Linked DNA regions of Xenopus tropicalis. The protein of the gene in region 1 interacts with the protein of each later gene in a pairwise test. Links are inferred from orthologs where the notes say so. Each region holds a gene or a part of one and is shown in the gene's direction. Other genes may lie near its edges.

What was found.
Region 2: the proteins of igf1r (region 1) and kcnip3 interact in binary tests that used the Homo sapiens proteins (3 or more experiments, as listed by UniProt). The two-hybrid records come from large-scale screens. The link is inferred for Xenopus tropicalis from reciprocal best matches to the Homo sapiens genes IGF1R and KCNIP3.
Region 3: the proteins of igf1r (region 1) and ywhab interact in a two-hybrid assay, tested with the Homo sapiens proteins (2 studies listed by IntAct). The link is inferred for Xenopus tropicalis from reciprocal best matches to the Homo sapiens genes IGF1R and YWHAB.
Region 4: the proteins of igf1r (region 1) and grb10 interact in a two-hybrid assay, tested with the Homo sapiens proteins (4 studies listed by BioGRID and IntAct). The link is inferred for Xenopus tropicalis from reciprocal best matches to the Homo sapiens genes IGF1R and GRB10.

Annotation. Positions count from the first base shown.
Region 1 is NC_030679.2:114,867,229-114,874,757, reverse strand, and holds part of igf1r (insulin-like growth factor 1 receptor), read left to right. Parts: intron 1-11; coding exon 12-156; intron 157-4,741; coding exon 4,742-4,956; intron 4,957-5,878; coding exon 5,879-6,005; intron 6,006-6,913; coding exon 6,914-7,152; intron 7,153-7,529. UniProt on the Homo sapiens protein: Receptor tyrosine kinase which mediates actions of insulin-like growth factor 1 (IGF1). Binds IGF1 with high affinity and IGF2 and insulin (INS) with a lower affinity. The activated IGF1R is involved in cell growth and survival control.
Region 2 is NC_030679.2:124,874,580-124,882,570, forward strand, and holds the start of kcnip3 (calsenilin), read left to right. Parts: upstream 1-3,395; 5' UTR 3,396-3,447; coding exon 3,448-3,546; intron 3,547-7,991. UniProt on the Homo sapiens protein: Calcium-dependent transcriptional repressor that binds to the DRE element of genes including PDYN and FOS. Affinity for DNA is reduced upon binding to calcium and enhanced by binding to magnesium. Seems to be involved in nociception.
Region 3 is NC_030686.2:12,509,119-12,517,215, forward strand, and holds the start of ywhab (14-3-3 protein beta/alpha), read left to right. Parts: upstream 1-3,837; 5' UTR 3,838-3,925; intron 3,926-8,097. UniProt on the Homo sapiens protein: Adapter protein implicated in the regulation of a large spectrum of both general and specialized signaling pathways. Binds to a large number of partners, usually by recognition of a phosphoserine or phosphothreonine motif.
Region 4 is NC_030682.2:60,064,416-60,071,944, reverse strand, and holds part of grb10 (growth factor receptor-bound protein 10), read left to right. Parts: intron 1-837; coding exon 838-936; intron 937-1,221; coding exon 1,222-1,299; intron 1,300-2,525; coding exon 2,526-2,642; intron 2,643-4,333; coding exon 4,334-4,400; intron 4,401-7,529.

The DNA of each region.
Region 1 (7,529 bases):
TCTTGTTACAGAAAATATTGCTTCGGAGTTGGAGAATTTCTTGGGTCTGATAGAGACAGTCACCGGCTATGTCAAGATTCGGCACTCCCATGCACTGGTGTCTCTCTCTTTCCTGAAAAGTCTGCGCTATATCCTAGGAGAGGAGCAAATGCCTGGGTGAGTAGTTGACAATATGCCAGTGCTGGGAAAGAATATGTATAGGGCATTTGCATAAGGTGTTGTCCAATGTATTCTTGGTAGCAGGCTGATGTACAGTTAGGTCCATAAATATTTGGACAGAGACACCCTTTTTTGTTTTTTGATTCTGTACATTACCACAATGAATTTTAAATGAAATAACTCAGATGCAGTTGAAGTGCAGACTTTCAGCTTTAATTCAGTGGGGTGAACAAAAAGATTGCATCAAAATGTGAGGCCGCTAAAGCATTTTTTTTTTTTTTTAGCACAAACCCTTCATTTCAGGGGCTCAAAAGTAATTTGACAAATTAATATTGGTAAAAAAAAAACCCTTTGCTGGCAATGACAGCCTGAAGTTTGAATTCATGGACATCCTCCTTTTAATGTTCTGCCAGGCCTTTACTGCAGCAACTTTCAGTTGCTGTTTGTTTGTTGACCTTTCTGTCGGAAGTTTAGTCTTCAACAAGTGAAATGCATGCTTAATTGGGTTAAGATCAGGTGACTAACTTGGCCATTTAACAATTTTCCACTTCTTTGCTTTAATAAACTCCTGGGTTGCTTTGGCTGTGTGTTTTGGGTCATTGTCCATCTGTATCATGAAACACTGCCCAATCAGTTTGACTGCATTTAGTTGGATTTGAGAACACCTCAGAATTGATTCGGCTGCTTCTGTCCTGTGTCACATCATCAATAAACACTAGTGTCCCAGTGCCACTGGTAGCCATGCACCCCCAAGCCATCACACTGCTGCCACCATGTTTTACAGATGATGTGGTATGCTTTGGATAATGAGCTGTTCCATGCCTTCTCTATACTTTTTTCTTGCCATCATTCTGGTGTAGGTTGATCTTGGTTTCATCTGTCCAAAGAATGTTTTTCCAGAACTGTGCTGGCTTTTTTAGATGTTCTTTAGCAAAGTCCAATCTAGCCTTCCTATTCTTGAGGCTTATGAGAGGCTTGCACCTTGCAGTGCACCCTCTATACTTTCATGCAGTCTTCTCTTTATGGTAGACTTAGATATCGATACGCCTACCCCCTGGAGAATGTTGTTCACTTGGTTGGCTGTTGTGAAGGGGTTTCTCTTCACCATGGAAATGACTCTACAATTATCTACAATTGTTTTTTGTGGACGTCCAGGTCTTTTTGCGTTGCTGAGCTCACCAATGCTTGCTTGCTTTCTCAGGATGTACCAAACTCTAGATTTTGCTACTACTAATATTATAGCAATTTCTCGGATGGGTTTTTTCTGTTTTTGCAGCTTAAGGATGGCTTCTTTCACCTGAACAGAGAGCTCCTTTGACCGCATGTTGTCTGTTCACAGCAAAATCTTCCACATGCACATCCACAAGCACCACACCTCAAACCAACTCAAGGCCTTTTATCTGCTTAATTGATAATGACAGACTTTCCAACGCCTGCCCATAAAATAGCCTTTGAGTCAATTGTCTACTTACTTTTGAGCCCTTGAAATGAAGGGTTTGTGTTAAAAAAAAAAAAAAAAAAAAAATGCTTTAGTGGCCGCACATTTTTATGCAATTGTTTTGTTCACCCCACTGAATTAAAGCTTAAAGAAGTCTGCACTTCAACTGCAAATGAGTTGTTTCATTTAAAATTCATTGTGGTAATATACAAAACCAAAATCAGAAAAAAGTTGTCTCTGTCCAAGTATTTATGGACCTAACTGTATACAAGTCTGTGGTGCTAATCATGGTTACTGCAGTTAATAATTATCCCTTGCAAAGGTTTATCTATATCTAGGAAATCTAGCTAGAACACCTTTAATCTCCCAGTTAAAGTATGTATAACAGCACCAGCATGCCAATGTAGTCCATGCCTTACAGAGCTATTTCACCTGCCTGATATATCAGTTATTAGTTTGGTAGGCTGCCGGGCAGCTCCCATTGCTAATAAGCTGGCAAGTTTGTCTGGAAGAGTCGTCAGCCCACATGTGGCCAACTTTACTCCCATCTTTTGTCTATATATTCTATATAAGAAGAAATTTCTGATTATGTTTCCTCAGGGCTACTTATTCTATCCATAAGGGGCAATTAGTCGCCGCCACTCTTTAAAAACAAATCGCCACTCAGTCAGTCGCAGTTCTATATTCTATATTAGCCTAAGAATTTGCACTTAAACCCCACACTGCAGTAAAACCCCTACGTGTTTGGTATTTCTACTTGTTGTTGAGTTTACAGCTTCTTCTGTGTGTAATATTATGTATTGCTCCTCCTGCAGCTCCCCAACAGACTTCTCTGCTCATAAAGGTTCTTATTACTTTCCATTCCCATTCCCAGTAGGGTTTTTCCATTACATGTAAACTTAGCTACTCTTACACCTTCCTCCCTCACTTCTCACAATGCAGAACTGATCCAGATCAACTTTAGGCCCCCCTCACTTTCCTGTGCAAATCCCCCTGCTTTTAGAGTCATCTTCCCCCCCCCCCGGATGTGTTCCGTGACTCCTCCCGGCGCCTGTTCCCCTAAAGCGCTCCTTACTCTATGTTTCCTTATGACACAAATTAGAGGTGTTTCCCTAGTTATCCCTGCCACCTCTTGCCCAATTATCTCCCCCTGGTCAGAGAAGGGCCTTCTAGCAGAAAAGGGGTTATTGGTTATTTTTCTGAGCGATGGAATGCCAGTGTTTGGATACATTCCATTTCTCTCCTGGTTTATCATTTCACTCCAACACACAAGACAAACCTGTTCTCTGTCATGAAGTCTTGGGTGAGGGACGAGGGGGCTCCTGTTCTGGGGAAGTAGATTTAGAGGTCCTGGGAAAGCACTGTATCGGTTGGTTTATGTGACCTGCTTGGATTAAGTTTCCTACACAAGGAATTCCTGGCATCTCTGCTGCTTTTTACTTCATTTCTCAAGCTACTCATAGGAATGTGTCAAGGATTTTTTAAATTCTGCATCTTACATCAGCTGACATTAAAATCCTAACACATAGTCTATTTTTTCTTCTAATGTTCTGTCAGTTTTGCCAAATTTAATATTTTAAACGTTTAAAAAGTGGAATAAATAATTCCCTGTTTAGATAATCTGATACCGCCCTTTGTCATGTAAAATCCATCACTTTATTTACATCTAAAATTCTGTATGTAGAAAATCCAAGCTTTGGGCTTATTTCAATAAAAATGATGTCATGCTATTGAGCTTGGAGAGCTCTTTACCTCAGATCAAAAAAAAATATCAATTTGTGTAGGATCATTTTGCGCCAGATGCTGCAAATATGCGTACAATGCAGGCCTCTTGCTACGCCAGGGCCACAGCTGAGCTCCATGTTCTGGCTTTGCTTCACCTTTCTAAATTTACAGAAGTCTTTGCAGCATTAGTTCTTATATATAGTAAGTTTTCCATCCAGCTTCCTGCCAGCTAATAGTTGAGGGCTGCGGACCCCCATGTTTCTTATAATCCAGGATTTTATAAATATGTTATTTTCTATGTTAAATTTTTAACAGCAGTTTGATTCTTCCCTGACGCTGTAGAGTGAGAAGATATTCATACATCATACATCACATAAGTGGATGATGGTTCTGGCTTCTCCTAAATATCTTTTTTCTGGCATACTAACCATAATTAAGTTTTTTTAATGTCTTTATTTAGTTTGTTACTTTAGACAGTGGATCACATATAGTAATGCCAAGGCAGGTAGGGTTTCATAAGTTAGTGGCTAACCAAGACCATAGAAGGAAAATCTGGCCATTGATCTGTGAAGGCTGAACTGTTTGGCCAAATGGGAAAAGGCCATTCTCTGGTTACCAATGATCACAAGTCTAATATCTCAAATTGTATTTTCAGAGTCTATTCCTGAACTGGCTTTGGGAAACACTAGAACATGGGCCAGGCAGGTCTTCACTGTTGTTAACAGTTTGGTAACGGCAATAGCAGCTGGCAGTGGCACACTGTTACAACCCACAGGGCAAATCATTAAGGCTTGCTGTGTTGTACATGGTATGCGTTCTCTGCAGTCTGTGGCTATTCAGCTGCTGGTGCAGTTGAGCATACTTTCCTTTTATATGTACAAAACTGCACAAACTCATTTGCCTTTCTTCACAGTCAGCCACATTTAAATACTCATTTGAACTTCTATGTTCTGTCTATGCTATTTTTTATCTATCTATTTTCTGTCTATACTTCTGTCTGTGTCACCTGCTGCCCTGTGCAAGTTGACTGCTTGTAGCTGGTACAGCACTGACTGGTGCTACTTATTGTATTTTATGTTATTGGTTTATATAAAATCAAGCTGCTTCTCAGTCATTTTTAATCTATAGCTCCTTGTCTGCTACTGTCCCCAGTATTTCTGGTGTAATATATAGAAGCTAGTTGTGCTACAACTTCTTTTTACAGGGCAAAGTTAACTCTTGAAAGAAAATTGTTTCTTTAGTGGGGTTAAAAATCTAAAACAGAAATGTGTCCTGCACCATTTTTTTGAGATTGTATTTGTTAAGAATACCCTATATGTTAGCAGACAAGTGGCAATAATATAGATAAATAAATTTTAGCTCATGGCATAAAACTAATGTGTGCTTGTTAATTTGTGGCCTCCTGTTTTTAATTTTCAGAAATTATTCCTTTTACGTCTTTGACAATAACAACCTACAGCAGTTGTGGGACTGGTCGAAGCACAACCTCACTATCAAAGAGGGCAAAATACGTTTTGCATTCAACTCCAAGCTTTGCGCTTCTGAGATTTACCGCATGGAGGAAGTAACTGGAACGAAAGGGAGGCAGACTGCAGAGGACATCAGCCTTAGTACTAATGGAAATATGGCTTCATGTAAGTATCTTGTGCCTCAGAACCACCTTGTAGTCTGACCCTATGGTTTTAGCATTCCTCAACCAGGCAGTGCTTGTCTCTGTAGAAGCTCTTCAAAAAAGGGTGGGTCTCCTATTTTAAAGGCCAAGTTGTTTTAAGGGTGAGCACTTACTTGCTTTTAATGAAACCAATATGTTTTTCCTTCTGGGACTGCCCTTAATATGGCCTACCATATCCTATAGTAGTTTATCATCAACCCACATTTATGTCCAACACATAAATGTGGCCTTTAGCCAGGCCCTATTATTATAATGCTGCACTAAATTAACTAATGTTTTTCCTAGCTGTAATAAAACAGGAGAATGTGGACTGAGCCTGTATCTACCTTTTCTAAGGTTCGGGTTGAATCATAACATAGTGTAAAAATGTACCCATGTACTTGAAGCCTAAACATGGGCACTTTATTTTGTTTTGTAAGTGAGCCTGTCAAGCTCTAGAACAATGCAGTCCTGATAGAGGCCAGATAAAGCTCTTGAAGGGATTTAATTAGGTGCTCTAAAAGTTTATATATTATTTTGCTTACACTAAGGGCAGTGACACATGAGGAGATTAGTGGCCCCATGATTAATCTTTACTGGCTCTAATCTCCTCTGAATGCTTTCTTACCGGCGATAATGTAAATTGCTGGTAGGAAAACATATGTTGCTTCAGCTTTCCAATGTCGCCCAACTTGCAAGGTAAGTTTGGAAAGCCGAACTGACACATGTTTTCCGATTTAGTAGGAAAGCATTCAGAGATTAGTCGCTACCGCGACTCGTGTCATTGCCCTAAAATCTACTTCTTGGGGGTTTTTTTTGTTTTTTTTTGTACTAAAAAAAATGCTTTATAGGAATTAACATAATGAAGTTTTTTCCCACCAATGTACGATGTGTCTCATTTACAGGCGAGAGTCACGTCTTAAATTTCACCTCCATAATCACAAGTAAGAACCGGATTAAGTTTACATGGGAGCGCTACAGGCCACCGGATTACAGAGACCTTATCAGCTTCACTGTCTACTACAAAGAGGCGTGAGTCCCACATTACAACCATATTCCTGTGGCGCTTGCACTTACCCAAGGATGAACTGTCAGTTAAAGGTTGATCTATAATGGTTTCCTCTAATAAAGGTGTAAAAAGCTAAGCATAGATTAAATTATAGTTAGTGCTGCTTCTTGGATATATATCAGCAATGCAGCATTCTTTACCATCTATCTGTTCTAGGTGTTCTGTCCTTTTATATAAAGGGCAGAGCAAAATGAGGTTTAAGTGATAATGCTCTGCAATATATTAGGCTAGGAATGTTGCTTCTTATGTTTTGTGCCAGCCTACAAAGCCATCACATCCCTTTAACACTGAATATATTTGTGGCTTGGAGAATGCTTTACATCTTTCTGCTGATTCACATGTTCTGGTTGTAATGTTAATCACCAGATCTAGGGCCCAGCTTATACACTATAAATATATATAAAGTGTGATTAGAATATTAGTCCATATTCACATTGCATAGTATCCTTAGACACAAGCGACTTCTGTATCAGAACAGGTTAATGATAAGACAGTAAATGTTTTGTCTAGGGGTACTAATGCTGCAGAATGGTTAGATGTCTAGTATTATCTAAATGGTGAAAAGATCTAGCAAGTAATTATTTTATTTATATATAACACATTTCCACAATTCTTTTCAAAAATTGTCTGTCACTCTAATCAGCCCCTTCCCCAGTGGAGTTAACAGTTAAATGTCCCTATGACATTCACATACAATATGGGCATTTTAATAAGTAGCCAGTTAACTGCAGTTTTCTTTGTTTCTCAGCTAAGCTTATATCTCTTGTAAGCCAAACAAAAACAACACAGCTTCCAAATTTCCAATTTTGCTGCATTTAGCTTTTAGGCTTTCCTCTGATTATGTCTCTGCTTCCTTTTTCTTACACTTCAGACTCTTCCATAATGTAACAGAGTATGATGGTCAGGATGCATGTGGATCCAACAGCTGGAATATGGTTGATGTGGACCTCCCAGCCAGCAAGGAAAGTGACCCTGGAATCCTCCTGCAGGGACTGAAGCCTTGGACACAATATGCAATCTATGTGAAGGCTATTACCTTGACCATGCTGGAGAGCCGTCATATTCATGGTGCCAAAAGCAAGATCATATATATACGAACAGATGCAGCAGGTATGTGTTCAGCCAAAGCAAATACATACCTATAATATTTATATGATGTTAAAGTGCTGGAATAAGAAGATAATGTTTTAGTTTAAAGGTTTTTTTTGCTTTCTGTCATTCTTGCAAATGCCTGGTTACCAAAACCAGTGACCCTACCAACAAGGCATTTGGTTGAATGCCAGAATAAAGCTTACCACCTAAATTGAAAGATAGCAGTAAGGTAAATCTTGTTTAGGAGGAATGCATGATTACACAAGTGCAGTATGTTACAGCTGATGGTAAAATTTAAAAGACTGAAAATACAGGGGAACACAGACTTTGTCAGCTCCCATAAGGCAATGAAAGGAACTTGTTAAAATTGATGGGAAATGGGTTCCAGAGGGATT
Region 2 (7,991 bases), about 10 Mb from region 1:
AGAGCCACACATTGGGTGCCCTCGCCATACCAGCATATCTATCTGTGTATGACCACATTAAGCCTTGCCAGTTCAAACTACTCTTGTGATTGCCGACCCTTCTTTGCAAATTTCTGCTGTGGGTTTTGAATCTGAGCTTCCGGATGAGCAATTTGTTCACATCTGCCACAGAGGTATGCCTTCTGGAACTCCTCTTCCAAACGAGCCAACAGATGGCACAGTGTGCGCTAAGTGAGACCATGAATCCTCTGATCACTCATTATGCCACGTATAGGAGGAAAACCTTTAAATATACAACAATATGCTGACATAATTGCACTTAAAGCAGAGCTGTCTAAGCCCCTGCTGTTTCAAACTCCAGAGGTTTTTAACTTTAATTTAACTGGAAAGAGCAGATTTCAATGAGCGCCATTCAGAGGAGCCATGTAACAAGGAAGCGGGTGCAACAGCGAGGGCGGGGTTTTGGTTTTGCACAGGAAAGTTATTAGACAACCTAAATCTGAATATCCAAAACATAATGGGGTTGATTCACTAAAGTGCGATAAAACGAGCGCTATTTATAGCATGCATTAAAAATTTTATCACATCTTATTTTTTGCTACTTGACGCTCGATTCACTAAAAGGTCAGGCGTCATAATTAAGACGCGACGCACGACCATTACTTTAGGAAAACTGCTGTTCTGAAAATGACCATTTCCCTGCAAACTGGCGGCTGCATCACTCTAGGGCCAACACAGACTTGAATAAATCCAACTGCAAAGTCCATATTGTGTTGCCAAAAGCTCATGAACCACAATTTTCTTTAAGTACCGCCTGCCCCAAGTAGGTGTTACTTTTCGCACAGACTTATGCGATATTTAGTGCGTTTAACGCTTCATATGTGTTTGTGAATCATGCGTTAGTATTATTTCTATGCGAGAATTAACCCAAGGCAAGGTAAATAATGCATTGTGATTTTTTTTTGCGCATGCAATATGCGTCTTAACACATGCAAAATGACTGATGAATCAGGACTTAATTATCGCATGCTTTTTAATGCAAAAAAGCATTGGATAAGTGTTATCACACTTTAGTGAATCAGCCCCATTGTTTGCTTTCAAACGGGTAACCAGTAAATGCTACCTACTAACAACTGGTTGCTATGGGTTACTAGACCTGCTGCAAGTTTGCAATTTGATTACAGAACCATTTTATATTTATAAACCGCACTCTCTTTAAGGTGATTATAATTAATGATATATCTCTATTATATATCATTTCAGTAAGTAGAGCTTTTGATGATAATAGACCTCATTTAAGAAGTCGCAGGCAACATGCAAAGTGCAAAATATAGGCAAAAAGGTGCATTGCAAAGACTGCACAGACCACTTGCCCGGGCATGGGCACTACTACTGCTCCCTCACTAACATTGCTAGGCGTGAGGTATCTTATAACTGATATGCCAGATCTCCACCAATGGGGTCTTGGCCATACTGACCCTAAAAAAGCAGTACTTTGCACCAGTGTCAGTGTCAGTGTTTGAATACTTATCTTCTGCTTGATTTGGTGCAGTCCTACTAGAAATCCTGGAAATCCCAGATTTAAGGGATCATTTGCAAACACAATATCAAGCATCCCAGTATGAATCCTGTAATAAATTGTAAACTCCAATAATCCCAGCCCTCCCAATATAGGGTATTCCACAATTTCCACTGTGCATTTTTAAAATGCCATTAGCATGCGATTCTTTTGGTGCAACCCTGGTGCACCTATTGATGGAACCCGCTGGGGGGACCCTGAAACTACCAACACATTTAAGGTGGCAGCAACTCCATGGTCCCTCAGCATCAAAAGTCGAACTTGCACCTGATTCATCAGGGCAGACTGGTCAGAACCAATAGCAAACCCCCTTGCAGTTATAAAAGTAACCCTATGTGTGTCCATCTATCTTATTTTTCAAATTGACAACGTTATTTGGGATATTTATATTGGGCATAGTCTAGAGCTGTCCAATTTAATACAAGTAGTGGGCCAATTATATCTCATACAGCATGTTGGGGGGTTAGATTAAATTAAAATGATGAAGTCATATAGTCTATGGACCTTATGATGTGAAGTCTATGGAGCCTTTGAACATACTGGGGGCCATAAAAATCCTTTGAAGGGCCACATCCGGCCCACGGCCTCCAGTTGGACAGCCCTGCATTAGTCCATCAGATGGACTTTATCATATTGCTCAGGCACCAAGATGAGGAGGAAAGAAAACAAAAAACCTTCAGCATTTAAAAACAAATAGGAATTGTCTCTTTGGATGACCAGAAAATTCCATAAGAGTACTAATAGAAAATGAAAAGTTCTGCACATAATAAACTATTACACTGCATGTATCTAACCTACGCAGCTCAACATGTTTCTCTCCCCAGCCATCCATGCTGTGCTGCTATTCCATGAAACTATCCCAGTTTTTCTAAATCCTCCTCCTCAATGTCTGCCCCCTGGGGATTTCAGGTTACGCCTTTCTGTCTGCAGCCGCTTTCCTTTCTGTACTCTGATTAATCCCTTCCTTCATATGAAAAGTTCCTAGCATCCCATCCACTTTCTCCTCTCCGCTCTGTAGGGACTATGGAGAGTAAACCATTCCTTCACTCCCTATGTGTGAGTGTGAATTGTGTTACTCTGCTTCCAGAACTTCATCTATTTTTGTCTCTTTTACGGCAATAAAAATAGCTCGCCTTCTAACAGAGCCTGCGCCGGCTGCTCCCTGTGCATTCGTGGCTGGGTTTGGGTTAATAAGGTATTTTGCACATTAGGGCCCCCTCGCTCTATGTGTGGGCCTCAGTACTTGGGTTCTGTTACCATGGAGATGTGGGGGTGGGTGTAGGATGCTGCAGATTATCTGTTAATTTTCTATTGTGATAGTCTGTTGGCTGCCTAAAAAAACCTATTCGTAGTTTGTGGAATTTAATGGGTGTCTCTGTATCAATGGGCACAATTTTTTTTTAATTGTTATTTTATCCAAAATCAAAATGTTACATCACCATACAGTACTTTACCATAATGGTAGATTATTTGCCACATCAATTACATTTTATTGTTATTTAATATCAATTTTTTTTTTATTTTTTATAATGAGACAGAACAATGACTTTTTTTAATAGAACTGGGCACCCTGCTGCCGCCAAAATAGCCAGTATGTGCAGCCCAAATGAAAATGCTGGTGCTTCTATGGGGACTGACAGTACCCCAAGGTGTGACTCTAGTGGGGGGCAATGGGGCAGAGCATATTGCCTGAGCAAGCTGTTCCAATGAGCCCATTAGCACACACAGAGTGACCTCTGCAGCAGTGAGTGAGTGAGTGAGTGCCACAGGATGAAGGGTTGGCCATGAGACTGACAGGCAGCAAACGGTTAATGCACAAGAGGTTTTTTTTTCCTAGAGACTGAGATAAGAGGTTGGGAGGAGAAGAGATGCTGCTGCGAGTTGCCATTGTCACACACACACAGTTCCAGCCTCCTCAGCAAGTCTGCAGCACCCCCTGCTCCGCTGTGCACCCAGTCACCATGCAGGTAAGGGGGATCCCCGGGTGCTACCCGCACACCTCTATGCCAACCAGCCTCCACCCTCAGCATCAACCTCTCTTCCTTTCTGCTTTTCTTTTATTCTGTTTGTTTTCTTGCTTTTCTTACTATATTCCATTCCCTCCCAACCCCTCTCATATCCTATCTCTGCTTATCCCTTCCCATGAAATGCTCACCTTTCCTTTTCTTTCCTGATTTTATCCTTTTGTCCTTCTGCCCTTTTTATATCTTATCTTTTTCATACTTTTGTCTGCTCTTCTACTTTTTTCCCATCTGACAGTTGGTTACACCTGTTCTTTCCCCCTATGTACCAGGATTATTTGCTTATTGCCTATTTGCATCTGTGCATCCCTTTCACTTTCTCCCTAAGACCCCTCGCTTTCCTGGCTCTCTCCTCTCATCCCATTCTCTGAGCTGAATCTATTTCATGTATCCCATTGACTCCATTAAATGAAGATGAGAGGGATGCAGATTGTCTCCAGCTGCCCAGCTGTCCCTCTCCGGCACCCCCTCCCCTGCTCCTACTCTCCTACTAATGAGCAGTGAGGTTACGGAACTGCACAGCCAATCTTTCTACGCAAACTCTCCCTCTCGGAGTCACATTCCAGTAAATGGCAGTTTAAAATGAAATTTCCTACCATGCAGCATTATGTAGAATATGTTTAACCCACTCAGTAAAAGGACATGGTTTTGAAACCTACCAATGGGCACCATATTGAGCCAGTCCTCGTTCACTGAACTGTATAGAGTAAGTTCTGATTATTTGGGAGAAACATTCAAATAAATAGGCAAATGCCGGCAGATTAGACATGCAATATTGAGTCTGAGCTCCTTTAGCAGTTCATGGGCAGTTCAGTATAAGCAATTAAAACTGTAAGGGATTTGACATCCTTAGTGGGTGGAGCAACTGCAGTTGCAGTTTTTTGCAGAAATATATACCTCCCCAGCCATGAATCACGAAGAAGCACTCCCCCCCGTAATTTGTTGGAAACTGAATACTTGCTAACTTCTCAGGATGCTCCCTCCTTACTCACACTCAGCCTCGAATTAAGTACACAACAGTTTTTTTTCCTGTTGCCATGGGTGTAACTATAGAAGGAGCATACCTGTAACTGTCGGGTTTCTTTATGAAAATGGCTTATTCCTACACTTAAGGGTACTTCACATTATTTTGGAGCCCAATGCCTTCTAGCTATGCCACTGCCTATTGCTATTATTATCAGTTAAACCAGACTAGCATAGGCATAGCCAAGGTTGCCTAACAAAGTGCTGATTGCCAGATACGGCCACCAAAGTGGCAGGCAATAGGTCAATAATCAGATCATGTTGGGCAGCCCTGTCCCATGCAGACCCATAGGGTGTAGAAAGTGTCAACACTGTGCTCCAGACTGATATCTAACCACAATGAGCTGCCAGCCAGAGAGTCTGTGGTCTTGGCACCATACAGGTTGGCAGTAAGCTGTGGATTGGTGTATCAGCCTGCAAGTGTGTAGTTAGTTTTACTACAACATATCTGCTAGGTACAGTGGGTAAAGCAGGTAAGCTCACATAGGGGTGACTGCTCTGAGCCTTATGCATCACATGGGCCTAGGGGGCAGCTGTTGTTGGTAGGAAGAGTGGGCAATAACTTTCATTATTTCAGTAAAAAGTTTCAGTCAGACTGTAAACTGTAAAAAGCCTATAAAATGGTCAGTTGTTTCCAGTGGTATAGGAACAGCACAAGGTGCTACAGAGAAAGTTGGTGTTTTTAGAGATTTCACTGGAAATGTGACTTGGGAAATAACATTATACTGACCAGTATGGGATATAGGTAAATATATGGGTTTAAGCAAAGGGGTTATCCAGGCTTTGATCACATTAGGGCGCTGTTTTATTGGGTCTGTGATACACAGAGCAGTTTGGGGCTGTTTCTTACTTGGCATCAAGGTACCCCAAATCCCCCCATTGCAAACACCAAGCACAGCTGATAAACACACTATTCTGCACGCTCTCGGGCATCTCCATTTGATTTCTATTGCCATCAGTAGGGGCCTGTGAAGGTGATCTTTGGCATTTTGAGTAGAGAAAAGTCTTTGGGCTAAACTTTTAGTTCAGTAGCTACCTGTTTGATAGGATCGAAATTACCTTAACAACCAGGCAATTGTTTGAATGAGAGACTGGAATATAAATGAGAGGGGCTGAATAAAAAGATAAATAATAAAAAAAATGGCAATAACAACAAAATATAACATATTAAAAGTTAATGTGAAATTAAAGATAAGATTCCTTAGCCGGTAAACCCCAGGTTCCAAGGTTTCAGAGATCCTAAAGATGTACTCACAATATAATACAAAGGAAGGAGATGAATAATTGACTTTAATTTGCCTTAAATGTCTTTCCTGCCATATTTTCCAGACACTTTCTGCTCATTTCTCTTTTTTTGCTATTTTTCTCCTTTTTTCACCCATAATCCTCTACTTTATTAACTTTGTTATTAAGATCGTTAAGATCTTTGTTAAGATCTTTAGTTACTTTTTTCCTGTTTGAGTCGTACCTCTTTCTGCCCTTTTTTTGAATACAGATATAGGACCCGTTATCCAGAATGCTCAGGACCAAGGGTATTCCAAATAAGGGGCCTTTCCGTAATTTGGATCTCCATACCTTAAGTCTACTAAAAAATCAATAGACCATTAATTAAACCAATAGGAGTGTTTTGCATCCAATAAGGATTAATTATATCTTAGTTGGGATCAATTACAAGGTTCTGTTTTATTATTACAGAGAAAAAGGAAATCAGTTTTAAAATTCTGAATTATTTGATTAAAATTGAGTCTATGGGAGACGGTCTTTCTGTAATTCGGAGCAGTCTGGATAATGGGTTTCTGGATAAGGGATCCCATACCTGTACTTTAAAATGAATCTATATTTACATCTCTTATAAAATGCAAAGAAAATCAGGTTTTATTAAACCAAACATTACAGCTGATTGGCCAGCCTTTGTCAGTATAATGAAACTACCCCTAAACATGCAGGATACCACCATAAACCATCAGTTCCCATAAGGTTCATGAACTGTAGGCCTCAGTACATACAAGACCCCCCAAAAAAACTAAGGTTATTACTGCTCAGTACTGTAGCTTATTACTGGCTGTGCCTGTGGGCTCCTGGGTTTTGGTACGTCAAAATAGCATAAAATAGACGAATGGCAGTTTTTTGAGCAGGTGGCTATCTCCTACTTTTATTAAATGCAGAACAGAGTAGGTGCAAAGCTGTTTGGACAATCCCTTTCTTCAAGAAGGGCTTTCTCCCAAAACATTTGCCCATTCACTACTCTGCATTTAATTAAGGGCCACTGTTCTATTGTGCTGTTTTGAGGTGCTAGAGCCCCATAGTTATATCATAAGACATTTGAGATGCCAGTTGACCCCATTTGGCAGGAGTAGCTAGTCAAACTCCAAGTGGCATCAGTTTAACATGGGACCATTAGTCCCATACCAGTGGAGATCCGGCTATGTCTCTCACTCTGTGGGTACATATGGCAGGCTGAAATACATTTGCCCTGCTACAACAAGCAAACAAGCCCGTCTCCAAGCTGAAAGGGATGGCAGTAGGTCATTAAAAATAGTGTGAACTTCAAATGCTCTAAACTCTGTGCAAGGGATTGTTGTCTTGTTATTCTGACTCATGAACATCTCAGTACCCAATACAATGCTTGCATGGCTGTGGTAATGCTTTGTCATTTTACTCAGTGCAATTTCTTTTCTAGAGTTCACTGAGGCTGCCGTGATGCCTGTATATCTTTCTAACAGAGCAGCCTCAATGTCCCTTCAGTCTCCATGTTCTTCTCCTGACGTCTGGCTTTCTCAGTTCCCCAGTTTCCTATTCATGCTCCATGTTCCACTTGGTACTTTGTGTTTCATTCTCCCTGCCCTGGTCTCAATATTCCAGGGATGTCCAAAACACATCCCTCTGGCAAAATGCTTTAAATAGCCACTAATGAATGCAAAAATGCACATTTGCAGAGAGGGAATGTTCTATGTAGGGGGAAAGCTGTGCCTTCATGCTGTCTATTTCATGGAAAATAATGGAAGTTATACCCCTTATTGAAATAATGTATTGATATAATGCCAAGCTTTATTCTTCAGATTCCAATTTCCCTATTATAAGCTCTATAAGCAAGGGATGCCCATGTGTTTCAGAGCTACTATTTACTTCATAGTGATAGGGATAATTGGTGTCAAGGATACCCCCTTCAGCCCTCTGCCATGTTACCAAGCTACAGCCAGAAAGCATTGGGCTGCAGAGAACATGCAGAGGAGACATGTTGGGTGCAAACTAACTTTCAGCAGTATAACAGTTGCTACTTCAAGGGTCCATATCAACCGGCACTAAGCTTTCCTTTAGCAACATTGCTACAAAGCATCTTCTCCACACAGTGTTACGTAGTGATATGG
Region 3 (8,097 bases), on another chromosome or scaffold:
TCTTGGAGTCTGCAAAAGACTTGAGACTGGGGCGGAGGTTCCCCTTCCAGCAGGACAACGACCCGAAACATAAAGCCAGGGCAACAATGGAATGGTTTAAAACAAAACATATCCATGTGTTAGAATGGCCCAGTCAAAGTCCAGATCTAAATCCAATGGAGAATCTGTGGCAGGATCTGAAAACTGCTGTTCCCAAACGCTGTCCATCTAATCTGACTGAGCTGGAGCTGTTTTGCAAAGAAGAATGGGCAAGGATTTCAGTCTCTAGATGTGCAAAGCTGGTAGAGACATACCCTAAAAGACTGGCAGCTGTAATTGCAGCAAAAGGTGGTTCTACAAAGTATTGACTCAGGGGGCTGAATAATTACGCACACCCCACTTTGCAGTTATTTATTTGTAAAAAATGTTTGGAATCATGTTTGATTTTCCTTCCACTTCTCACGTGTACACCACTTTGTATTGGTCTTTCACGTGGAATTCCAATAAAATTGATTCATGTTTGTGGCTGTAATGTGACAAAATGTGGAAAAGTTCAAGGGGGCCGAATACTTTTGCAAGCCACTGTATTTGCTTAAGCTGGCCATACACGGGCATATTTAAGATGCCAATTCTACCCCTTCAAATTGAGTTGGCAGATTGTCTGCCTATTTATGGACCCTCCCAGACTTCATCCCTGATATCTGAATGAAAATCAGGCAAATATCCATTGGACAGATTTAAAAATCCTGTCAGAGCAATGACAGCATGGGCACACTGATGCAGTCCTCTTCCGATGGTCTGCACTGGCGCCATGTAGGTGGCTGGATCAAGCAAAAATCCTCAAAAAACCCTGTCAAATGAGGAGGTCTTCAGGTGTATGGCCACATTTAGTTTGTAAACTAACAGAGCATTGTTTTGCCTTCAAACTTACTACCTTCCCAGTCCTTTTATTATTGGTGCACTGGTAACCTGATTAAGTACCTTGTAAGAACCAGGAAGTTAGAAACATGGAATAGCTTCAGTTCCTGGTTAGCTCAAGAAATAAAAATATATGCACTCATTATTACATTAAAAATGCGTTATCTGTTTGTATGGCATGTAGAAATAAACTATTTGTCAAGAAACAGCCTATTTTATCTGAGAGCAATTAAAGGCATTTGACATCTTTTTATGTCTCTGTGTAAAGCTGGCCACACATATCCTTATTTAGACAGGCAGTTTAGCAAGATTTGACTGTTAGCTTGGGGGCTGCCCCTGGGGACACACAGCAGGGTATTTATATAAACTATAGTAGGGTTTCTGTAGCAAACACCCCAGCTGTACCAGTGCAGGAATGGCTGCCCCCGGGGCTACACAGCGGGGTATTTATATAAACTATAGTAGGGTTTCTGTAGCAAACACCCCAGCTGTACCAGTGCAGGAATGGCTGCCCCCGGGGCTACACAGCGGGGTATTTATATAAACTATAGTAGGGTTTCTGTAGCAAACACCCCAGCTGTACCAGTGCAGGAATGGCTGCCCCCGGGGCTACACAGCGGGGTATTTATATAAACTATAGTAGGGTTTCTGTAGCAAACACCCCAGCTGTACCAGTGCAGGAATGGCTGCCCCGGGGCTACACAGCAGGGTATTTATATAAACTATAGTAGGGTTTCTGTAGCAAACACCCCAGCTGTACCAGTGCAGGAATGGCTGCCCCCGGGGCTACACAGCGGGGTATTTATATAAACTATAGTAGGGTTTCTGTAGCAAACACCCCAGCTGTACCAGTGCAGGAATGGCTGCCCCCGGGGCTACACAGTGGGGTATTTATATAAACTATAGTAGGGTTTCTGTAGCAAAGTAGGGTTTCTGTAGCAAACACCCCAGCTGTACCAGTGCAGGAATGGCTGCCCCGGGGCTACACAGCAGGGTATTTATATAAACTATAGTAGGGTTTCTGTAGCAAACACCCCAGCTGTACCAGTGCAGGAACGGCTGCCCCCGGGGCTACACAGCGGGGTATTTATATAAACTATAGTAGGGGTTTCTGTAGCAAACACCCCAGCTGTACCAGTGCAGGAATGGCTGCCCCCGGGGCTACACAGCGGGGTATTTATATAAACTATAGTAGGGTTTCTGTAGCAAACACCCCAGCTGTACCAGTGCAGGAATGGCTGCCCCGGGGCTACACAGCAGGGTATTTATATAAACTATAGTAGGGTTTCTGTAGCAAACACCCCAGCTGTACCAGTGCAGGAATGGCTGCCCCCGGGGCTACACAGCGGGGTATTTTATATAAACTATAGTAGGGTTTCTGTAGCAAACACCCCAGCTGTACCAGTGCAGGAATGGCTGCCCCCGGGGCTACACAGTGGGGTATTTATATAAACTATAGTAGGGTTTCTGTAGCAAAGTAGGGTTTCTGTAGCAAACACCCCAGCTGTACCAGTGCAGGAATGGCTGCCCCGGGGCTACACAGCAGGGTATTTATATAAACTATAGTAGGGTTTCTGTAGCAAACACCCCAGCTGTACCAGTGCAGGAACGGCTGCCCCCGGGGCTACACAGCGGGGTATTTATATAAACTATAGTAGGGTTTCTGTAGCAAACACCCCAGCTGTACCAGTGCAGGAATGGCTGCCCCGGGGCTACACAGCGGGGTATTTATATAAACTATAGTAGGGTTTCTGTAGCAAACACCCCAGCTGTACCAGTGCAGGAACGGCTGCCCCCGGGGCTACACAGCGGGGTATTTATATAAACTATAGTAGGGTTTCTGTAGCAAACACCCCAGCTGTACCAGTGCAGGAATGGCTGCCCCCGGGGCTACACAGCGGGGTATTTATATAAACTATAGTAGGGTTTCTGTAGCAAACACCCCAGCTGTACCAGTGCAGGAATGGCTGCCCCCGGGGCTACACAGCAGGGTATTTATATAAACTATAGTAGGGTTTCTGTAGCAAACACCCCAGCTGTACCAGTGCAGGAATGGCTGCCCCCGGGGCTACACAGCAGGGTATTTATATAAACTATAGTAGGGTTTCTGTATATGTAATATTTTTATTACTTTAAAACAATTTCATTTTTGGTGTTTCTTTTCCTTTAAACATGTGGTATATTTTTTTTAACTGCAGGTCAGTGTGCCAAGGGTCCCCTGTAGAATAATTGCAGCTTGAAGGGCCACAGGCAGCCAGCAGCTTCTGAAACAAATACAATATCACTAGGCCGGTATGAGGCTGTACAGGGGCCCTAGAGGCAAAGGGACAATGGTGTAGGCCACTCGGTCAGCCTGACAGCAAAGGTCCCGAAGCACACGTTACAATCGCCCAAACTATTGCTTTATCGAAGCAGTTCATTGATTATTTTCACAACACCATTTTATTGAAATTGAATAAGCTAGATTTTTTTTTTTTTTCAAAGGGGGTGGGGAAAGATAAGCGGACGACAAAATGGAGACTGCAGCAGGTTAGACGCCTTCATTCCCCACAGAATGCACAATAACACATTCTGTATACCCCACGATTGAGAAACTCAATAATACTCATAACTGTGTCAGGGCAGCTTAATCCCCCTGATTTCTGCCCAAAAGCCCCGCAAAGTGTCGCCTCAAACCCCCTACAAGCTGACACTTGCCTCCCCTTCCCGCCCAGACGCGCTTCCTCCCACCCCTCCTGCTAAGACGGTTGACGTCATCTCCCCGTTGCCGAGGAAACGATGAGGTCACCCCGCTTCTCCCCTCCCTCCAGTGAAGCCGCCAGTGCTTGTTGTACTGTCAGGAGTTTAGAACTGAAGGAGAAAGGTGGAGGGGAGGGGCTTGGAGGCGGGGCTTGAAGGAAGCGGAAGTGGCGGCTGGAACGGAAGTGGAACGGCCAGTGAATCTGCAGGAGAGGAGGAGAACGGTGAGGGAAGCTGAGCTAGCCCGGGTCGAATTACTGAATCTATTGGCAGGTCGCGGATTTTTGAGGTACGTGCGATGGCAGAGAGCGTAGTGCATTCGTGTGGGAGATGGCGGCCATTCTATAGCCGCCTATGGGGTCGCTCCTTACAAGGGCGGGGATCTGTGCGCGGCCTGGATCCCTTTCCCCAGCGCCTGGGGCTCAACATCCGCTCGCTTTCCCCATTGGGGCCCCCTTAGTACCCCACACCCTCCGATGCGCAGGGTAACCTCGCCCGATCCGTAGGCCTCTTTCCGACCCTGTCAGCCGTATTATCCCCAGCCCTGCCCTTACACAGCTCCCAGCATTTCCCGTTACATGCTTTCCCTGTTAAATGGAAAATACGTATATAATTAATAGACTTTTTTTCTTTGTTATGGAAAACCTATAACCGCACATTATTGATTATTTTTTTTTTACCCCTTAATGTCATTCGTTGCCGGTGCCCCAAAGCTTTTTGTAGGCAATATCTCATTTAACCTATAGACGTCATTGAAACAGCGACACCTAGTGGCCAGATGCTTGTATAGTGTCACAAAGCAATACCGCAATACTGAAAAAGCACCAAGATAGTCCCCTGTAATTCGCTGCAGAAGAGTGTATACAGCCAGCACACACCTTATATACAATAGGTTTCATATACATATACAATGTGTTTCATAATATCAATCAGGAAGTGATCTCTTTATTTCTGCAGCAGCAGGAAGTGGCAAATCAGGGAAACAAATGCTCCATTTGGGGATATCTACAATTATACAGGATCAGCAACTCTATGGGGTGTTTATTTGTAGCCTTTCCAAGCCCTGATCTATATGCAGGCCTATTTATCATTATCTACACTTTCTAGGCAGCCTGAGGGCTACAGTTCACATACACTAGATCCCAATTACTGAATCCGGTAGCTAAATTGTCATGCAAACCAAGAATGTCATCTATAGTTGTACATTACATTAACATTTATTTATAAAGCGCCAACATATTCCGCAGCGCTGTACAATAAGTGGGTTACATACATTGGACATACAGAGTAACATATAAAGCAATCAATAACTGATACAAGAGGTGAAGAGAGCCCTGCCCAAAAGAGCTTACAATCTACAAGATAGCACTGCAACTAGCAACATCCTTGTACAGGTATGGGATCCCTTATCCGGAAACCCATTATCCAGAAAGTTCCGAATTACATAAATGCCATCTCCCATAGACTTCATTATAAGCAAATAATGTAATAATAAAACAGTACCTGTACTTGATCCCAACTAAGATATAATTACCCCTTATTGGGGCAGAACAGCCCTATTGGGTTTATTTAATGGTTAAATGATTCCCTTTTCTCTGTAATAATAAAACAGTACCTGTACTTGATCCCAACTAAGATATAATTACCCCTTATTGGGGGCAGAACAGCCCTATTGGGTTTATTTAATGGTTAAATGATTCCCTTTTCTCTGTAATAATAAAACAGTACCTGTACTTGATCCCAACTAAGATATAATTACCCCTTATTGGGGGCAGAACAGCCCTATTGGGTTTATTTCATGGTTAAATGATTCCCTTTTCTCTGTAATAATAAAACAGTACCTGTACTTGATCCCAACTAAGATATAATTACCCCTTATTGGGGGCAGAACAGCCCTATTGGGTTTATTTAATGGTTAAATGATTCCCTTTTCTCTGTAATAATAAAACAGTACCTGTACTTGATCCCAACTAAGATATAATTACCCCTTATTGGGGCAGAACAGCACTATTGGGTTTATTTCATGGTTAAATGATTCCCTTTTCTCTGTAATAATAAAACAGCACCTGTACTTGATCCCAACTAAGATATAATTAATTCTTTCTGGAGGCAAAACAAACCCATTGGGTTTATCCAATATTTAAATGATTTAACTTAAATTGTGGAGATCCAAATTACAGAATGATCCCTTATCCGGAAAACCCCAGGTCCTAAGCATTCTGGATAACAGGTCCCATACCTGTATAACAAAGGGTTGCTGTGGGCCCTTGGGCTTATCATTCAGCCACTAGAAGGTAGTTGGTATTTCCTAAATAAAGTTGGCACTTATCTGGCTTTGCAGATAATGGATCTTTCCATTATTTGGGTCACCATACCTTGAGGCCTGCTAAAAAATAGTTTAACCATTAAATAAACCCAGTAGAATTTTAGCTTAGTTCCCATCAAGTACACAGTACTATTTAATACAGAAGAAAGGGATCTCGGTAAAATACATTTGAATTATTTACTTATAATGTGCTCTATGGGAGATGCTCTTCCTGTAATTCGTAGGTTTTTGGATAACGGGTTTTGGGTTAAAGGGATCCTATACCTGTTCCAATTTATCCATCTAGAGATATGAGTATATGCCCATATAGTGAGATGATATACAGCCATATAGGAAAAGGTCTGCCAATCTATACACACATTTCCTGATCTCCCATGTAGCCCCTAAGCCGCGCTTAATCAATACATTTCTTGGCTCCTTATTCAGCTGATGGTCAGTATTGATCCCTGACAAGCTGCCTTTAATCCTGCTATGACTCCCATCCATATTTCATGTGTACAGCTCTTAAAAAATCAGAAGTCTATCTCAAAAGTCTATCAAACAAAGGCATGCTTGGCTATATGAATAATTAATAATGGCACGTTTAGAGTGAGAATATAAACGTTCTGCCCAGTGTGCCTTGCCATGATTAAGCAGTTTGGTTCTGGAGTGCTGCATTGCATTCTATGTACCAGCAGAGTTTATGCCAACAAAACATTTTTTTTTTTAAATTCTTCTAACGTTTTAATTGCTTTTTTCTTTTACTCAGGATTAGCACTGTGGTTGCATATTTGCTCTGCATACCCTTCTCATTAGAAAATGTGCTTAGCTTGTTTGTACGGATCCTTTGTGCCGGGTTGTCTATAGCCTCCTTGCACCAAGAAGCTCGGCTGTTAATTGCATACATGACATTGTAGAAAATCCTTTCACAGCCAATATTGCTAATTACCTTTGATCCGAGCCTCCAGTTCCGAGGCAGGCCAGTGGGTGGCAGTGTGCTGCATGTGTGTGACACAAGAATGCCTCTGCTTATCTGATTTTCTACAAAGTTGTCAGTGTAGGGGCCTTTTTCTCATGAACACACCATAACTAATATGCATTCAGTATAGCCATGGCCCTTTAAAGTTGATTTTCATATACCCTTCATTTAGAACCTTTTGAACTAAAATACAGCATTTGTTAAAATACTTGACCTTTTCTTTTTCAAATAGTTTATTAAACATAATTTTAATTTGGCAAGATTTCCAAACAAGCTAATCTTTACCTGATTCGGGGAGCAATGGAAGACCCATCAGGACGCCCCACTTCCCAATCACTTTTATGGCAGTTACTGCAAACTCACAATATTTGCCGGTTTGGCCTGCGGGCAGATTAGTTGGATAAACACATTTTCACATGCCCTTTAGTCCTGCAAGTTCTTAAATGTGGGACTGGACCACTAGTGGGGATCCAAAGAAGTGGATGCAGGGGGCATCCAGTATCTGGAAACCCATTATCCAGAAAGCTCTGAAGTACAGGAATGCCATCTCCCATAGACTCTGTGTTAACCAAATAATTTACATTTTTAAAAATGATTTCCTTTTTTTGTGTAATAATAAAATAAAGTACAGGTATAGGATCCTTTATCTGGAAACCCATTATCAGTAAGTTCCCAATTACGGAAAGGCCATCTCCCATAGACTCCATTATAAGCAAATAATTCTAATTTTTATAAATGATTTCCCTTTTCTCTGTAATAATAAAACAGTACCTGTACTTGATCCCAACTAAGATATAATTACCCCTTATTGGGGCAGAACAGCCCTATTGGGTTTATTTAATGGTTAAATGATTCCCTTTTCTCTGTAATAATAAAACAGTACCTGTACTTGATCCCAACTAAGATATAATTACCCCTTATTGGGGTAGACCTGCCCTATTGGGTTTAATTAATGGTTAAATGATTCCCTTTTCTCTGTAAGGGTTGGCACACGCGGCGGCGCGATTTCCCGAAATCGCCGAAAAAGACTCGTAAGGCTTTTTCGGCGATTTGCGCGAAATCGTTCCACCGCGTGTGCCATCCCGCCGGCGACTTACATTTTTGCCGGTGGGAAGGCAACTCGGGGAGATTAGTCGCCCGCGACCAGGGAGTTTTGTCGCGGGCGACTAATCTCCCC
Region 4 (7,529 bases), on another chromosome or scaffold:
AGTCCAAAGCTTACCCAACTAGTAAGCAGTTAAAGAACGAACGGGGCAGTAGCTGATCAAATGTTCATTCATTTTTTTTTTTTCTCTTTTTAATTGAAAGCCAGAGATGTGTGATTTCATAGTCACCAAGTGTAATTGCTTACACACAGTGCGCAAAATAAAACAAAGAATAAAAAGGCCATCTGTGGCAAGGATCTTTAGAACCACTTTCCCGCATTTTTTTTTTCTGGCTTTATCCCAGATAGGGTAGGATAGAACCTAATGGCTCCTTTTGTGTAGCTGCTATGGAGGGACCCTTTCCCCCATGAGGCTGCCTGAAGCTTCCACCTAGGGCTATGGCTGCGTGAGATAGAGCCTAATAGCTATATGTTACACCCCTAGTGAGCCTTTACGGGTTATATACACCCTCAGAATCCAAATGAAAAAAGGACAAAAGTGTAAGAACAAAAAAAGTGTGTTTTAAATAAATTTTAAAAAAAGTATATAATTCTGTGAGATTATAGCTGTGACCTTCAGCTAGAAATATTCAAATTTTCTTTGCCCAGCCCGAAGAAAAGAGCAAAAAGAAGACAAGTGTGGCATAAAAAATCAATGTACAATAATTCTTTACTGAACACTAGCTTCTTACCATGGCACTCCTGTGTTGGTAATCTGTAGGCACAGTGCACCTTAGGTTTTCTTTTCACCAGCTTCACATCCTGGATGGTACAGCCCATTGTGGAATTACCTCGAGGTAGCAAATAAGTAATCTAAAGGCGAACTTTATGTACTTGACAGCGCTCTCATCTAGAGAAAAAAATACATTTTCTTTTAATGTTTATAAAAACTCTTTTGCAGCCCAACAAAGTGAGAAATGAGGTTAAAGAGCTGCGTTTTTTATGTGCAGAAGATGAACAAAGCAGGACTTGTTGGATGACAGCATTCAGGCTTCTCAAGGTACATTTAGGTTTGATTGCTGAGGCCTGCTGTTAGAAACTTGGAATCTTCTTTGCACGTTTGACATTTGTTTGGCAACGTTCTAATAATGTTTACTCTAAATGCATTAATTACTTGTGCAGTAAGCAACTATCATATTATCCTGCTTTACTTCATTCCTTAGTATTGTACTGTAAAGTGACCATGTACAGCTATGCAAGAAGCCTTCTTTTATTTCTAAATTCACTGTATCTTTATTTTAAATCTTTCTAAAATTTCATTTTTGAATTGTTTATTCTTTTGCAGTATGGGATGTTGCTTTATCAAAACTACAGAATTCCACAGCAGAAAAAAAGCTTGCACACAAACTTTTCTACCCCAGTGGTATGTGTCTTTATTATCCTATAGTCTATCTAAATTAGAATTTTGTCAAATTTTTCCTTAAGTATATGACTGGTAATAACAGACCTTTTTATTTTTAATTTGCTCTTATTTTACTAATCAAATTCCACACCACCTCCCAGTTAATTTAAGTAGTGAACATATTTATTAAGTTTATTATATTACATGCATACATATGTAATTTGTCATCTGAATGCCTTGAAATTGTAACCTTATAAATATATTCTTCTGATATCAGAGAGTTCTATATCCATCACTTGAAAATCTCATAAACTTTCATCTTATACCACTGTCAGCTCCTGTAAGTGAAGATTGTGAAGAAGTGCACCTTGGCTTTGCAGTTGTTCAGCACAAGCCATTTCTAAAAGATATAGAATTAAGCTGGCTATACACTGCCAGATCTGGGCCTGAGTTTGCAATCCATATTCCGGGCCAAGGATCGAATCATACAGAGGAACGTACAGGCCATCAGATAAGGGCCACATCAGCATGCCAATGTGGTCCTTGTTGGACAGGAAAATCAAATAAATTTGGAAAAATATTTGGCCAGATATCAGTCGGGCAGGCTCAGCAGTGGGCCCCATACATGGGTCAATAAGCTGCCAACTGGAAGCACCAAGTCTGCAGATTTTTTCAACCCGTATGTGGGCACTTTTAGAACAAAATGTTTTGATGGATATGCAGGAAAACAATGGTTACATTACTGTTCTAGTTGATACTGCTTTACTTATGTGATTGAGGACCTTTAAGGGCATCATGTGATTTATTGTAATTAAAAGCCTGACCAATTTGTAAGGCTGATATGTGAGTGAAAAAGTTAGTCTATCAAAAACAAACTGCATTATTACTTTTTGATGTTCGCAGCAAAGAGCACAATGCATATTATAATTGGTGCAATATGGTTAGCCCTCACAATTGATTATAGGACATTTAGCATTTACGTATGACAACAATAGAAACCTTGAATGTGTAAGGACTGTATTTTGAGATCCACACTGTAAAAGCAACAGGCAGGTGTCGGAGATATTGCAACATCCAATGTTTAGATTGGTGTCCATTTTGCCTGCTTGACCTCATTTAGGTCCAGTTATTTCAGAAATTCCATTTAGAAGATGGTCCTAAAATTCTAAAGGTTTCCTGTCTTGCTTCATACACATATGTTTCTAAGATATTGTGATTTTTTATTTTGTCATTTTTTATCATTTTAGAGGAGTGTATCAGAAAATTCCTTAGTTGCAATGGATTTCTCTGGGCAGACTGGAAGAGTTATTGAAAATCCAGTAGAAGCACAAAGTGCTGCTATGGAGGAAGGCCATGCTTGGAGGGTAATTATCACTGTACTCACTAACACATGAGTAATGTTTCTAGGTGACAAGTAAAAAAATAAATGTTGTCTTTTCCCAATGATAATGCGAATAAAAGTTTGCTCGTCCCTAGTTAAGGCACTCTGCCACATATTAGCTTGAAAGGCAGTAATTAGTAATTGAGCACATCTAGCAGTAACTTAGCATGCTTAAAGGGGCATTTAAGCATAATTCTGTTTTTGTAATTTGTTGGTTAGACCACAGCTTAAGCATTTCATGCATGTCCTTAAAAAGTTTCCCTACACTGAACATTTTTTTTTAATTACTTAAATAGTTCATCAAACTTGACTGAATAAGTTTGTAACCCTAAAATGTGTAACTTGCATTTTTCTGCTTTAAATTGCATGTGTTTATTATTATTATGCCATTCTCATTTAGCATCCTCTTTCAGTTCTGCTTAACGGGAAGCCAGTTCCCTATAGCACACTTCAATGCTATTAAGCAAATATTGATTGAAAAGAAACAGTGCAAGGGGCTTAAGGAAATACTACTTAACCACTATGATCATAGTGCCCTAATACTTTGCCTTTAGTCTCTGTCTGCCCATACTCCCCTGCAGGTCATCTATTAGAATTATTTACTCCAACATTATATATAATAATCTGCAGTGCTGACAGGATGGAAAGATGGAACAAGGCAAATGGAGATGTGAACTTACAATTTGGATGTGGCAGGAAGCTCTACTCTAAATGATCCATAGCTTATATGAAAGTGTGTGTGTAACTGTACCTTAACACTCTGTGTGCTGAAAATGTAATGCTAATTAATATTCCACTGCTGGTACAAAAACAAATGTGTGTTTAATTGCAAAATAACCTTTTTCTTACTGCTGGCATGCTTTTGGAATTGGTACAATGTGAATGATATGATATTAAGCATTGCACTTAGCAGGTGATAGTGGCATATAGTGTATAATACTAGGAATACTTAGTTAGGTGTGGATAAGCTTTCCTATAGAGATCATTTAGAGTTAGGCTAATGCCCCACTGAAAGATTAGTCACCCTCTATAAATCCCTACTGCTGCGGGTGACTAATCTCCCAAAATGCCATTCCACCTGCAACAAATTGAATCGCTAGTGGAAAGGCATATGCGTTGCTTTGATTTTCCGAAGCTGCTCAGAGTTTCCTTCTGCAGGCAAATTCACACAACTTTGGGAAAAGAAGCGCCGATTGACTGGCGATTCACTTTGTTGCTAGTAGAAAGGCAAATCAGGGAGATTAGTCGCCCTTGATAAATCTCTGCTACCGTGGGGGACTAATCTCTCTGTGGGGCATAAGGTAATGAATGAGGTATTTAGAAGCAGATTCCCTGAAGAGGATATTTAATAAATGATGCCAGGGAAAGTCAGCTGTGTTAGTTGTTATGGAAGTACAGATTGAGCATTATCTGATTGGGTAATCCTTGGAGTTCTACTATTCCTCGGCGTCCTTGTCATCCTGGTGTTGCTCTTAAGTGACTTAATTATAGGTTAACGTAATAAAAAAAACATGCAGAGTTTGTACCTAGTCTAGTCACCAATGGAATCCAATAAAATATGCAGTCTTGTGATTAAATACAGTCTACTGATTGTTTGCTCGACCTGATGGAAACTTTGCAGATCTTATTGCTGTCCTTTTATCTTTTTCATGTTTCTTTGTTTTTGTTTTACAGAAACGCAGCTCACGACTGAATGTTCTTGGTAGCCAAAGTCCACTTCATCCTTCCACACTAAGCACAGGTAAACAACCCCTGGGCTTCAATTAATGCAAAAGTAAACCCTGTAAAGAACCTTTAGTTAAATAATAGGTATAAACCTGTAGATAAATGAGTTGCAACATCTGTTTAGAGAAACTGGCCTGGAAACAATACTAGTTGCAGGTTGTAAAATTAAACATTTCTGTACACCCCTACCTCTTGCAAAGCTAATAAAGGAAATGTCTCAGGATGAAAATAAAAAGCAGACCAAATTACACTGTATTTAGCATACAGATTGGGGGCTCCAAATGTTACATTGCGTGCCCAGCTTTCACCTTGCCTCAGCGGACATAAAGGGATTTCCTAGCCAGTAATGCAATTATAGAGTTTCTTAATGTGTTTATTCCTTTTTATTTTATAACTGCTTGCAACTTTTATATTTGTATGCCCTGTTGTAATTAATTGAAGTGTATATGTAATCATATTTGTATATTAAATCTAAAACTTTGAAGCTTTAAATCAGGGGTGCCCCAACCTTTCTTACTCGTGAGCCACAGTCAAATGTAAAAAGACTTGGAGAGCAACACAAGCACCATAAAAGTTCATGGAGGAGCCAAATAAGGGCTAAGATTGGCTATTAGGCAGCCTCTATGCACACTATCAGTTTACAGGCGCTTTATTTGGTGTAAATCTTGTTTTATTCAACCAAAACTTGCCACCAAGTCAGGAATTCAAAAATAACTACCTGGTTTGGGGGCACTGAGAGCAACATCCAAGGGGTTGGGGAGCAACATGTTGCCCCCGAGCCACTAGTTGGGGATCACTGCTCTAAATGAACCTATAGCCTGATAAAAGTGTAACTGTACATTATCTAGTAGAAATAAGTCTAAAACAACTGGACTCAGAAAAGTCCAGTTGTTTTAGACTTAATTCTACTAGATACTGTATATCATGACCTGGATGAATGAGAATCTTCATAGACGTAACTGTACATTAACTGTGTGCCAGGGCCAGAACTAGGGGTAGGCAGAAAAGGCACCTGCCTAGCCTAGGGTGCAATAACGGGGGGAGTGGGGGGCCCTAGGCAGGTGCTTCTTATGCCTTCCTCTAGTCTGGGCTTTCTTACCCCCACCACCGGTTATTGCTGTGCACTTCCCACCATGCAATGTCACTGCGCATGTGTGCACTCATTAACATGCCTGCCTCTGCTGTGTGCTGAAAGGAAAAGGAAACTCATTTTAATGCTAATTAGGCATTCAACTGCTGGCACAAAGTGTGTGTTTAAATGCAAATTAACCCTTTTACTGCTGCTATGCTTTGGGAAATGGTGAAAACTAATGTAAAAAAAATATAGAGCAATTATGCTGTGCTGATGAGCTTTTGGCTGAGCAGCTCTTAGCTGCTGACCTGGCCAGCATGTAAATGACCCCTTTTTTTAGTTGTCCACTTAAAGCATTGGTACATGTTTTGTTACCTGCGTTAAAGCACAAGCAATAACGCTACCAAAAATTCATGTAATTCCTGGCAATGTTAGTTGTTTATATAAAAAAATATAGAAAGAGATACAGGTATGGGATCCATTATCCTGAAACCCATTATCCCAAAAACTCTGAATTGCAGGAAGGTCCTTTTTCCATAGGACTCCATTTTAATAAAATAATTGGAATTTTTAAAAATAATTTCCTTTTCTTTGTAATAAATAAAATAGTAAATTGTACTTGACCCCGACTAAGATATAATTTATTCTTATTGGAGGCAAAACAATTCTAAGGAGTTTATTTCATGTTTAACTTTAAATCATTGTTTAGTAGACTTAAGACATGGAACTCCAAATAATGTTAAGACCCCTTATCCAGAAAACCCCAGGTCCCAAGCATTCTGGATAACAGGTCCCATACTTGAATCTGTTTGTAATATGTGTTATATTGGCCTTCTGTTGATAGAACTGCTACCATGCTTTTATAGATGCATACTACTTTCTGTGTTTATTGCAGCAACTTTTCTTAGGGTAATGTCAGGCTTTAATTGCTTTTGCTGGTTTTGACTGAAATTAGCACCATATGTATGAATTTAAATTTGGATGCTATTAAATAAAAAGGCAAGTCAGACATTAACCCAAGTGCACCCTCCCTGCATTTATTTACAGCCTGCTTCTGCTGCTTCTTCTCACACAGAAACACACCTGTATTCGTATCTCTCTTTGGCCAGATATAATTACAATTAAGTAAATCAATTCTTTTTAGGTTAAATGGGATTTATGCAGGGCTGTGGAGTCGGTAGATAAATTCTCCGACTCCTCAGTTTCTGATACTTCCGACTCTACGACTCCGACTCCTCTGTTTTTAATATGCTAATATATTTTATACATCCAGGAAGGGGAAGGGGCACTTAAAACACAACTGAACTGATAATAAACTGATAGACAATTTTATCTATACTCCTAATAATTTCCCTAGAATCCCATAGTCCTGTTTAAAGTTTAAGCTAACATTACAGCTGAATTACAGCAGTTTTTCAAATGTTTTAAAGCTTCAGTCTTAAAGGAACAGTAACACCAAAAAATGAAAGCGCTTTAAAGTAATAAAAATATAATGCACTGTTGCCCTGCACTGGTAAAACTGGTGTGTTTGCTACAGTAAAGCTACTATAATTTATATAATAAGCTGCTGTGTAGCCATGGGGGCAGCCATTCAAGCTGGAAAAAAGGAGAAAAGGTACAGGTTACATAGCAGATAACTGACAAGTTCTGTAGAATACAATAGTGTTTTATCTGTTATCTGCTATGTGCCTGTGCCTTTTCTCCTTTGAATGGCTGCCTCCATGGCTACACAGCGGGGTATTTATATAAACTATAGTAGGGTTTCTGTAGCAAACACCCCAGCTGTACCAGTGCAGGAATGGCTGCCCCCATACTACACAGCAGCTTATTTATATAAATTATAGTAGATTTTCTGAAGTAATCGCACAGTGCAGGGCAGCAGCACATTATATTTTAGTTACTTTTATACACTTTAATTTTTTGGTGTTACTGTTCCTTTAAACTATTGACTATCCATTCCCTTCACGTATACAGGTATAGGACCCATTATCCAGAATGCTCGGGACCAAGGGTATTCCGGATAAGGGGTCTTTCCGTAATTTGGACCTCCATACCTTAAGTCTACTAAAAAAT